3 linked regions of the Caenorhabditis elegans genome follow. The protein of the gene in region 2 purifies or fractionates together with the protein of the main gene of each other region. This does not show direct contact. Each region holds a gene or a part of one and is shown on either strand. Other genes may lie near its edges.

Region 1 (3,603 bases), on a different chromosome or scaffold from region 2:
TTCTAGACTCAATCACTAAGAGAATGAGTCAAATGTTTGCCGGGAAACCGTTCCTTCATGAAACCTTGATAATGGAGTCAGAGCAATCACTCAGCGAGCAGGAAAAACGAGAAGCTCAATTACTTTTTGATAGAGAACGACGTATGGAGAACTATGATCCATTGAGTGGCCTGAGCAGTTCTAACTTTTATAACAATGCTCCTGGAAGCTCAATGGGAATGATGGGTCCACCACCAGTTCCGATGTTCAATAATAACATGCAAAATAGTTTCAATAATCATTGGCAACAATCTCCTAATCAGCTTGCACCCAATTTTGGATCTTATCCACCACAGCAATTTCCACAACCGATGCCAAACATGTCACAATTTCCACCTCATGGACCATCACCTCAAATTCCATCAATTCGTCCATCACCAATGCCTCACACGCTTCGAATGAATGTCAGTCAATTCCATCACCAAGGAGGTGGTCATACGATGACGTCATTCAACAATGGCTATCCGAATAATAACAATGGAGGAGCTATAGGAAACCCTCAACAAATGCTTCCTCCAAGAGATCCATCAGCTTTTCCGGGAGCTGTTATGAGCAAAATACCATCATTTTCCCCGGCTGGAGCAGTTCAACAATTGATTACTGATAGACGTGAGTTTGACGTTTAAGTTTTTTTGAAAATTCAAATTTTTAGAACTCGTTTTTCCCATTGTCGGACATAGAGATCAGCTTCATCAGGTTCAGGCAAATACACCAATACAGTTAGTTGTTCCGAAAAATGGATATTATGTGAAACTACGTGATGGAACAATTCTTGACGCTGTCGGAAGTGTTTTTGAGAATCGTTAGTTTACTAGAAAAAATTTCGTATAATTTTTTAAAATTTATAGATGCCCGTCAGCTTCGTGATATGTATCTAAGCAAAAATTTCAACCATGATCCGCAGCAGGTTCAAGAAGTCATCGATCTTGATTAACAACGTCTTGCATTTTTTTCTTTTGATGTACATTTCGTTTTTTATCATATAAAATACAACATCTATCTCAATGCAACATCCAATGAGATCTCTGATAATTCACTATCATTTTACTCAATTATTTTTCCTCTTATAGAGGCTCCTAAATTAATTTTAGGCAAGTTTCGAATTTCCACATTTCAACTTTGTCCACACTCTTCCCTTTTATCATTAGTATGTCAATTAATTAAATTTTTCTGTTTTTTCCAACACAGTAATCAGCTCCGCTGTTCGGCAAGCTGCCAATTGTGTTTTATACGCCTTCTCTTTTAATTTAATGAATAAATACGAATAATATTTAAATTATCGGATTCGCTTGAAAGAGAAATTGGAATAACATTTTTCCGCAGATCCCCGTTTTGTAGTGCCTCTTAATAACGCGTTTTTAAATACTGACTTGGTTACTGTAGGTTTTGGTCCCGACACGAAATTCTGAACTCGTTCGGCACGTTTCTTCAATTTTCTTCATTTCTCTCACCCATTTCTGATGAATTAATGGTTTTTAGATTAATTTTTAAATATTCAGCGTTCTGCCAGTTTCTCAAAATAATTTTTTTAGACATTTCGGTCGGATATGTCGGAATTGTCGAGTGAAATGAAGTCAATGGAAAACGGAATGTCGGCGAGAACGGTATTTTTTATCAAATTAATGACAATTTGTAAACTATTCATTTCAGGACAGACAACATTATCTTGAGAGAGCTCAATACTCTCCATGGCCAAAAACTCAAAATAGTGGAGCATTCGGAGCGCTAACTGATCAACCGAGAAAGTATCGAGGAGGATTTGGAGGAGGTGAAGGCTTCTCTGATTTTGGATCCGTTAGTGGACTTGGCGGTAGAATCCCCAGAAACTCCTCTCACCTAAACGACAGTTCTGGATTTGGTTCCGTACGAGGAGGGTACAGCAGTTATCGAGAAAGCAGATCATCTCGTGTTGCTGTTTCGGATGCTCTTTACATGAATAATGAACGTTGCGTGACACCTCTGCCATCTGAGAATATAATGGGTAGTCCACGGCGTGGATCTTTCCGAAGTTCGCCCCGATCCGATGGTATGGGATCTTCATCGAAGAGACCACGCTCTGGCCGCCGAACCGGTAGACGTGGGCGAGGTGGGCCAGGCCACTGCTTCCATTGTCAAGAGCATGGACACATTTCGAGAATGTGCCCGAAGAAGGTTGGAGAAACGGATGAACACGGAGATGGAAAAGATATCGAAGTGGAACCATTTGAGACGAAAGATTTACTCCAAGAAGACGCATCAAGATACTCTTCTAATATGAAGGCTTTGCATGGAGGTTATTGTTTGAATACTAGGAAAACGTAACAATTTTTATGTTTTCAGGTGGACTGTATCAAAGCAAGTTGGACAATCAAAAGGCCCGTGAGTCTTATTATGGAGGGTACGGCTACAGCATCAACAGTCTCACCCCAAGAAGTGTTGGCAGCGTGAGAAGTGGTTTCACAGCACCAATGATGTCGCCCGAAATTGACAAATTCTCAGAGCAGTTGGACAATGCTTTGAAGCTCAGCAATGTCGAGCCGGTAGCTCCGTCGCCATACGTGATGACTATCACTGGAAAAGGGCCAGCTGAAAAATTGATGAAAGAAGTGCCACCAGTTGCTCCAATCAACACTCTACAGAGCAGAGAAGGAGCCAAACGTGAGATTATCAAAATTCTATAATTGTATAATGTTCATTATTACAGAAATTTCTACGGAGACTTTGTCAATCGAGACACGCAGAACTGTGATGCGCGATGGAGAATTCCACTTCGAGGAGACGACTATCATCAATTTCCCACGAGTTCTTCCGCCCAACGTCCGTGTCATCGCTGCCCAGTTCGTGCCGGTCGCTTCACAAAATTCATAATTTCTGATAATTATGATGCTATCAAGGAAAATGTTTAATAATTACTATTGGGAACTCTGCCCAATTTGCAGCGTATTTTTACTGTTTTTCATTGTTGTTCCATTTATTGACTTCTAGGTATTGTTTTTTACGTTCTGGAATTGTTTCTGTCCTAAATTTGAAAACTTGTATTTTTGATTTGAGTCTTCAACCTCATTTCATAAAAGTGTTTCATGTTACTCTCGTTTCATAATTATACACACTCAAACTTGAACATTTTCTACAGTATACTTCATTCAAAGGAAATCTACGCATTTTCAGTAGAACTCGGAGGCGATCGTGGAATTGGCGGAGATTGGGCGAGTGGAGCGTCCGGAGATGGAGTTCTTGGCGGAGGCGGCGTCGTACTAGTAGTCATTCCCAATTTTTTGCGGATTGATTCAAGAGACATGACTTTATCTCTGGAAATATTGTAAACATGAAAAAACTTCTTCGCATATAAAAAACCAGCCGTGGACCGCACCTTCGGCGCGGCCCCCGACTTCTGGGGCTGAAAATTAATTTTTTATGAAACTACCGTAACCCTACAGTATTCCTACCGTACCACTATTGTACCACTACAGTACCCCAACTATATCCCTACACTAACCCTAACTCACTATCCCTCCAGAAGCCAAAACTTCACAGACTACAAAGGCTACATAGACTACAAACTATGGACACACAGAATAAGCGCTT
Region 2 (4,451 bases):
TAATGGAAAGATTCGGATGATTAGAACGCCTCAACTATGCTGGGAAGTTCAAAAACTTCGTAAAGTGGTACAAGCTTTCAAGATGAAGCATATATATTCTGACTGCGCCAACAGTAAGTTTAAATTCAAAAATCAAATGAATAGGTTATTCGTTTCAGTTGAAATGGACACTTTATTTGAAGAATACGAAGAAAAATGCACATTCGTGGAAATAATTGTGAGCCTCTGTGTATTGGCGTCAATTTTGATATTTGTTTGCTATGTGATGATAGATGTTGTGATCATCTTCCTGAAATCCCTGAATTTCACTCGATGGAGAAAAATAAAAGAATTGGACATTCATCTCAAAACTGACCCAACAGCTTATTTGGACGAAAAATCTTCAGATGAAGAACCTGATGTGATGACGTGGAAGAGGAGAATTCTGGTTAAAAATCGTCTGGATGGACGGGATGTGATGGGAGAAAAAAGGAAAAAGGAAATGAAAGAATACCGAGCAAATCGAAAAACAATTAATTGGAGACGGAAGCTTGGAGCATTGACGAGATCCATTCAAAAGAACGAATCGGATAGTGAGTTCTCAGGACAAAGTTGGTTGAGAAGAAAAGAGTCAAGAAAGAATGCAAAAGAGATGAATGAAGATCAAGGAAAATATGAAAAAGAAGGTCTTCCGATTGCAGTACTGACTGGTTTAGGAGAAACAAAATGGAAAGGAAGAACGAAGAACATGGCACTTGAGGCAAGAAAAGCTGATGAACGAGAATTGGAGTATTTTGAAGCAGTTCATAAAGCGATCAAAGAAATAATTGACGATGCAGAAGGTGACGAAGAAGATCGAATTCTGATGATTTTGGAAATAATGGAGAAAAGGAAAATTATTGAGCCGAACGAAATTATCACGGACACGAACAAATTCGAAGAGCTTCTGGTTCAACTGGAAAATCATTTGAGTGAACGTGAAAAGGAGAAGTGGATTGCCTGGGCTAAAAGGAAACAACAATTACGAGAGACGGCGATCACGACATATGGAAAAGGAAAAAGCTTTAACATCTACGATAAGCCAGTTAATCTAGAAGAAGATTATAGACTGAATGCTGGTGTTGATAACTCGGAAATGTTTGTGAAAGTGAAAATAGAAACGATGAACTGGAGGTCTTCGGATGAGAGTGGAACTGAAGATCGAGAACTTTAACTTTATGTCGTTATTTTTAAAATGTAATTTATAAAATTTTTGAATTCAACGAAACATCATTTTTATAAACTCAAAACAAGATGAAACAGTAAAAACAGTAAATTAACAGTGAAAACTTATGCAATATTCGAAGGAATGTCGTCGAAAATGGATCTGGCTGGCTTGTGATTGGCCGATACTGGGGTGTGCTTCTGGGGGGTAATTCTTGGACTTCCAGAAAAGGTGAACTGGTTGCTGGTATTCTGAATCGCTGGAGAGAGGAATCCACGTCCAGCTGGCAACTGAAAATGATATAATTTTATGCGTGAATTTAATATTTATTTCTTACCGGATTAGATAGGCTCAATCCGGCTGAAAGTGGTGAGCCAGTTCCATAATCATTCTTCTTTTCTTTTCTGAAAATTAAAACATTTGTTATAATATGTGGGTACTTCACAAACCTATAGATAAAATGAAACTCGTCGCAGTCATTATGTTTTTCGATGATTGTTCTCGGCTTTGCTTTCATTTCGTATCCAAGGGCTGCCAACTCGAAACGATCGCTCAACGTCACCTAAAATTAAAAAAAGCTTTCGTCATCAACATTAATAGATTATTACTTTTCTGTGAAGATTTGTATTGTAGTTGAACCGTTCAGCGCATTTGTGTGCGATATTTGTGTCTTTTTCAATATCCGAGTCGGTTTTTAACGAATTCTGATCGATTCTTTTCTGAAAAAAAGTTTTATTGTTATTAATTCTGAAAAAATGATAAAACTCACTTTAAATGGTGTGGATGCCAAAGTAATATGCGAAAACTCCCTTTTAGCCGACATAATTGGAAAATTCGAATGTCAGCCGAAGAAATTGTGTGCAATAATTTTAACACCGTTACTGTAAGTTTTAAAGACACATGTCCATTTTGAAGGCATGGGTCTCGAAGCGAAAAAACTTGTTACGGTAGCGCGCAATTAAAAAACTTGTAAAAATCTTTTTTTTTAGCTTGTTAATTAACGTTAACAAAATATATGAGAATATAGATGCAGAAAAAAAAGAAATTTCATTCGATGAATGTACATTATTGAGAAAACACAGTCTACCTATTTGAGACTAGTTTAAAACAGAAAGAAATTGTAAATTAAGGTAAAAAACCTATACTCTTTCGTGGAAGCTTCCTGATTCGTCCGATTCATACCCATCGTTTTCAAATCCATCATTGTCGTTGATTTCGCTCCGAACCGAATATTCAACTTCAGTTGTTTCTTGGAATAAATGAGTTGGTGTCATAGGTACAGTACTATGATCATCATAGACTGTTACTCCAAAATTCTCTTTCATGTGTTTGGTGAAATCTATTTTACTAGTCGAACTTACTCCATCGCTGAAAGTATTTGGAATAATTGATTTCAGAAGTTTGAAGAAACTTACATCATTGTATTTGTTCGACTTCTTGTATGTTCAATAAGAGCTTTTGTAAATACCATATTACTATTTAAATCTCCACGTGCAATCTTCTTTGCATCTTCATCAACCAAATGCTGTAAATTAATTATGAATAACAATATCATTAAGCGTATTACCATACCTTGTACTTTCTGACCAATTTAGTCTTATCCATCTCCTTCATATTGTTCTTATTAACTAAAATTGGTCTCAAATAATTATTGTTGAGTGCATTCCACGAATCACGAATCCAATGATGCCCCTTGAAACCGGCAATGTCTTCCATTCCAGCCATAGTCGTGTCGATAAGCTATAATTTTCATTTCACTGGAATTTTGGTTCTGAAAACTCACTTCGCTGTAAATATGCTCAATCATGTTCTTTGAGTGAACATTCTTTTTCTCAACTTGTAGGAATTCGGCAATTGGTTTCAGTGTAATTCCCTGAAAATGTTAAAAATCTATTTTAGAAGTATTGGAAATAATCCAGATTTTTTTTCAAAATTTAACTAGGCACATTAGAAGGCTATGTAAATGAAATGCTGAAAAGTAATAGTAAGGTATGTTTTTTAAAAACATCACGGGTATAAAATATAGCTAGATTGTTTAAAAAGATACCTGGAGGAATACAGTGAAGTAGATGACAATGATACAACTGGTGACAAACATATTCTTTCCGGGTATAAAATCTGGAATTGCAACGACAAGACCGTATGCAATGGCACCACGAAGACCTCCATAAGCCATGATAAATTGGTCTACCTGTATGAAACATATACTTTTTTTTATCAAATAACACAAATTAATTCTCACCTTTGTGTACTTATTCAGACGATACTTATTCAAGAAATAGCACATAACAACAACTCCAAGGGTACGGTAGATCAAGCAGAAAACTACAGTAAGAACGATGAAAGATGTGTCCCAGTGATGGTTTGAGGATACTGTTGAGAGTCCCAAAAAGACAAAGATAACTGTTTCCGATGCAAGAGAAAGCACTTTGATGAATGATTCTGTGGCTTTTACCGTGTCTGGGTCCACATTTTCACGGCAGTACTGACGCATGGCAGCACCACAAAATACAATTCTGCAAAAATTTTATTGAAAATTAGTTCTAGTTATATTTTGTTTCAGTTTTACAGCTCTGGAAGAGAATTACGGTTTTTGCCAAAACTTTTCATATTAGTATCTTCAATCTCTAGACCTTAAGTTTACATTTTAAAATTCCGATTTTTAATACAAAATTTAATATGAAAATATGAGTAGGGCTAAAGTTTCAATATAAAAAAGAAATTCTGAAATAAATTAACTTACGCCATAATACTTGAAAGACCGAAAAGTTCTCCACAAAGATAACAAGTGTACGGAAGAATGAGAATAAATACAGAATTGAGCACTTTGACCTCTTCATCTCTAGCAAATCTTGTAACAAGACTTGTCAAAAATGCAAAAAGAAGACCAATTCCAATTCCACCAAATGCAACAACCAGGAAAGAAACACCTCCATTGATATAATCAGATGTTATCAGATTCTCAGTTCCAATTTCAGAGAAGGTCAAGAACATTCGATAAAGTACAACAGCAACTCCGTCGTTCAATAGAGATTCTCCGAACACGGCAATAAAAAGAACTTCGTTGACCTGTAAACTTTGACTTTGTTATCAGAGAAATTTGGGAGACTGTCTCACTTTCAATTCCTCGAAAATGACAATTACAGCAACTGGATCTACATCAGCAGCAACTGAACCGAAGAGAAGCATATGCATAAGTGGAGTTTCAACTGAGAATAATCCAGTCAAACTGATGGCCCATAAGGAGAGAGCTGTAAATTATTAGATT
Region 3 (2,725 bases), on a different chromosome or scaffold from region 2:
CCGATATCTCCAACAAAGTGAGGATTGTCTGTTCCACCAACTATATTGAATCCGAAACCTGTAAAATGAGTACTATATAGACGTTTAAAAATACAATTTATACCTTTAGATGTTTTTTCTATTTCAACTACTGTCAATGCCTCCAATGGAACAGATTCTTGTCCATTTCCATCTGTAGTCGTATCATTGAATGTCATGTCGTCCGTTGCTTCTGCAGCAAATGAAATATCGAATGTATGATCTTCATCAGCGTGAAATGGGGAGGAAACGAGAGCGGCATGATCTGAATATTCTTACCAACTCTCGAGTCCTTCCATAGTTTAATACTTACGTTCATAAACTGGATCTGAATCGGTATTGAACACTGTATCCTCTTGCGGAGGAGACACCATCATTCTGAACAATTTGAAGATTTTTGTAAATTTCGAAAATCACTAATTCCAAATGAAATAAATAATACACAGAAAACAACTGCTGTAATTATAAACGTAGAGAAATAACACCATTTAAAAATATTTATTCATGTGGTTGCGGATGAATTGTATAACTGGATATGAAATTTCGTTTTCACATTTTTTGGAAAAGAGTTTAAAACTTAGGACTGAATCCGTAAAAAGTGAGAAAAGAGAACGTTGGAAAGAGATAGAAGTGAGAAACCCATATGGATGGTAATCAGTGCTGATTATTGAGCCTGTTGTTCATTAATTTGTAGATGCTCTCCTTTACATATTGCTTATTGTGGGGGACATATGTGTATGTTGTCTGCAATTTTTTTTCCGATATTTAAAATATGTTTTAAAAACCAACATTGTCGAGAACCAGCATTGAAAGATCTTTGAGGTCGTCGATGAACTCGAAAAGGTGCGATATGTCATAGGTGATTTCGTTTTGAGCCGGAACCTTCTTTTTCAAATATTCTTCGTAGACTCTGCAGATTCCTATAAGTTAAAAGTTTTTAATTGATTATAAACTTTTAATTTTAAAATGTAATTTGGTTTTTGTTACTCACCTTCAAGACATTCCGTGGTATTCTCATAATCCGACCATGAACGTGACTCGATGTTGTCTGTCGGTTGGAGCAGAAGAATTGTGTGACTCATTTTCAAAAAATTGAGAATATTTTTGAAAGGGAAAAAACGGAGTAAATCTGCAACGTCAACGCAAAAAAAATATTAGCAAGAAGTGCGCCAGTACGTCGAATAGTGCGTCAGCGACGTCCACTGGCGCGCTTTTGGTGTTCGGGCAATTTTTATTTTTATTTTTTCTTTCTTCTATAATTTAACAATTTCCATACTGTTTGAGGTTTTTTGCATAAATTGTGAAAATCGAACAATTCCTATCAAATTTTCATTTTCTCAACACAAATTCTAAAAATTATTTTCAGGTGATTTCGCCATGTCAGGCTTATCTCACGCCGGCCGCCAGGTTGCACGTATTGCAGTTCGACAAGCATCGTCTCACTCTCAGTAAGTTTTTTTTAGTGTTAAAGGCTAAATAATCTGATGTCAAGAAATCATGTTAAAAAACGATATCAATGGAATTTTCGATATTTCAGAAAATATCTGTGTTCTTACCAGGAATTTTATTTTAAACAATAGCTTTTTCGTATTCGTAATGCAATTAGTTTACTAAGTGATTATTCTTAACAAATATAACAAATGCTCACTTTCTTATTTAATCTGTTCCGAAATACTAAATATTTAATCATCTATCCAAAAATATGCGTTTGCTCCCTTTAAAAGCATTAAAAAATGCATTAAATTGTTGATCTCTTAAAGAACAAAATTGATTTTTCAATGCTTGTAATATCTATCCCTCGAATACAAAACAGTTTCCTAAATTGGTGAATTTTTGAATCATAAATTTTCAAATTATTGCAGTGACTCCCACGCCGTCTGGAAAGAAATCAACAGACTCGGAAGTGAGGGAAAATGGGATAATGTGAACAACATGCCAAAAATGTTTTTGTTTGGTGAAGCCAAGCAGGAGACGACAGCTGCTTATCGTGCAATTGTGAGTTTTTTAAAGAATTAATTATGTTCCCGAAAGTACAGTCGGTTCGAAAATAGTTCGAAAATATGTTTTTGTTTTGAGAATTAATTGCAATGCTTTCAAAATAAGATAACCTTAGTACTTAGTTTACTGAATTTTTAATTTTTTGATCATAAAGCTTCCACAGCTATAGATTTATAGTGTCGGGACTGTCCGGCGAGGCTAAAAACTTGGCTTTTGAAGCCGCCATAATGTTTTTAAAAAAATTTCAAAGTTCTTCACAAAATCATATATTTTGTTATGAAATGGCATAAGTACTACAAAAAAAATCAATTTTCTCATGCATAAGTAATTAAAAAAATTTTAAACAAGAAAACGTTCAATTTTTAAAAAGTGACAGCATAAAATAAAACGCAATGCGATTTGTATTGTTTTATTTCAGAACAAAGACCCCGACTTCTTCCGTCAATCTCCATATGGTCAATATTTGAAAATTGTGTGGCGATTGGCTCTTCTTTTCGGAATCATCAAAGCCGGAACTGTTGTCTACGATTTTGCCGTTCCAGAAGAGCAGCGACTCAAGTACAAGTACCGTAATCACGGACATCACGGTCACGACGATGCCCATGACTAAATTTCTGATTCACCACCGTCCGAACGTCTTCTTTTTGCATAGGAAGAAAGAGCCCATTTTAGTGTATTTGTAATCATTATCATTATCACAAAAAGATTT

What was found. Proteins that work in one complex are often made in the same cells at the same time.
Region 1: the proteins of pid-1 (region 2) and egc-2 purify together in Caenorhabditis elegans (affinity purification with mass spectrometry, with the first as the bait; one large-scale study listed by BioGRID). This does not show direct contact.
Region 3: the proteins of pid-1 (region 2) and erh-1 purify together in Caenorhabditis elegans (affinity purification with mass spectrometry, with the first as the bait; one large-scale study listed by BioGRID). This does not show direct contact.

Annotation. Positions count from the first base shown.
Region 1 is NC_003282.8:8,900,075-8,903,677, forward strand, and holds egc-2 (CCHC-type domain-containing protein), read left to right. Parts: upstream 1-1,571; 5' UTR 1,572-1,586; coding exon 1,587-1,643; intron 1,644-1,689; coding exon 1,690-2,311; intron 2,312-2,358; coding exon 2,359-2,676; intron 2,677-2,722; coding exon 2,723-2,886; 3' UTR 2,887-3,103; downstream 3,104-3,603. Other genes in the region: rad-54.L2 (Helicase ARIP4), read left to right, coding at 1-648, 692-841, 888-973; Putative serine/threonine-protein phosphatase C27B7.6, read right to left, coding at 3,173-3,326.
Region 2 is NC_003280.10:7,688,498-7,692,948, forward strand, and holds pid-1 (Protein pid-1), read right to left. Parts: upstream 2,060-4,451; 5' UTR 2,007-2,059; coding exon 1,953-2,006; intron 1,903-1,952; coding exon 1,792-1,902; intron 1,746-1,791; coding exon 1,633-1,745; intron 1,588-1,632; coding exon 1,521-1,587; intron 1,474-1,520; coding exon 1,309-1,473; 3' UTR 1,193-1,308; downstream 1-1,192. Other genes in the region: F18A1.1 (Receptor L-domain domain-containing protein), read left to right, coding at 1-113, 159-1,192; nhx-2 (Na(+)/H(+) exchanger protein 2), read right to left, coding at 2,323-2,551, 2,599-2,708, 2,756-2,923, 2,967-3,056, 3,231-3,374, 3,426-3,699, 3,927-4,252, 4,301-4,434. UniProt on the Caenorhabditis elegans protein: Component of the pid-1 variant of the PETISCO complex which is required for the biogenesis of a class of 21 nucleotide PIWI-interacting RNAs (piRNAs) that possess a uracil residue at the 5'-end (also called 21U-RNAs).
Region 3 is NC_003283.11:10,577,927-10,580,651, forward strand, and holds erh-1 (Enhancer of rudimentary homolog), read right to left. Parts: upstream 1,216-2,725; 5' UTR 1,101-1,215; coding exon 1,010-1,100; intron 939-1,009; coding exon 808-938; intron 763-807; coding exon 673-762; 3' UTR 501-672; downstream 1-500. Other genes in the region: mics-1 (PDZ domain-containing protein), read right to left, coding at 1-58, 104-283, 332-395; lpd-9 (LiPid Depleted), read left to right, coding at 1,396-1,466, 1,881-2,013, 2,435-2,626. UniProt on the Caenorhabditis elegans protein: May have a role in the cell cycle.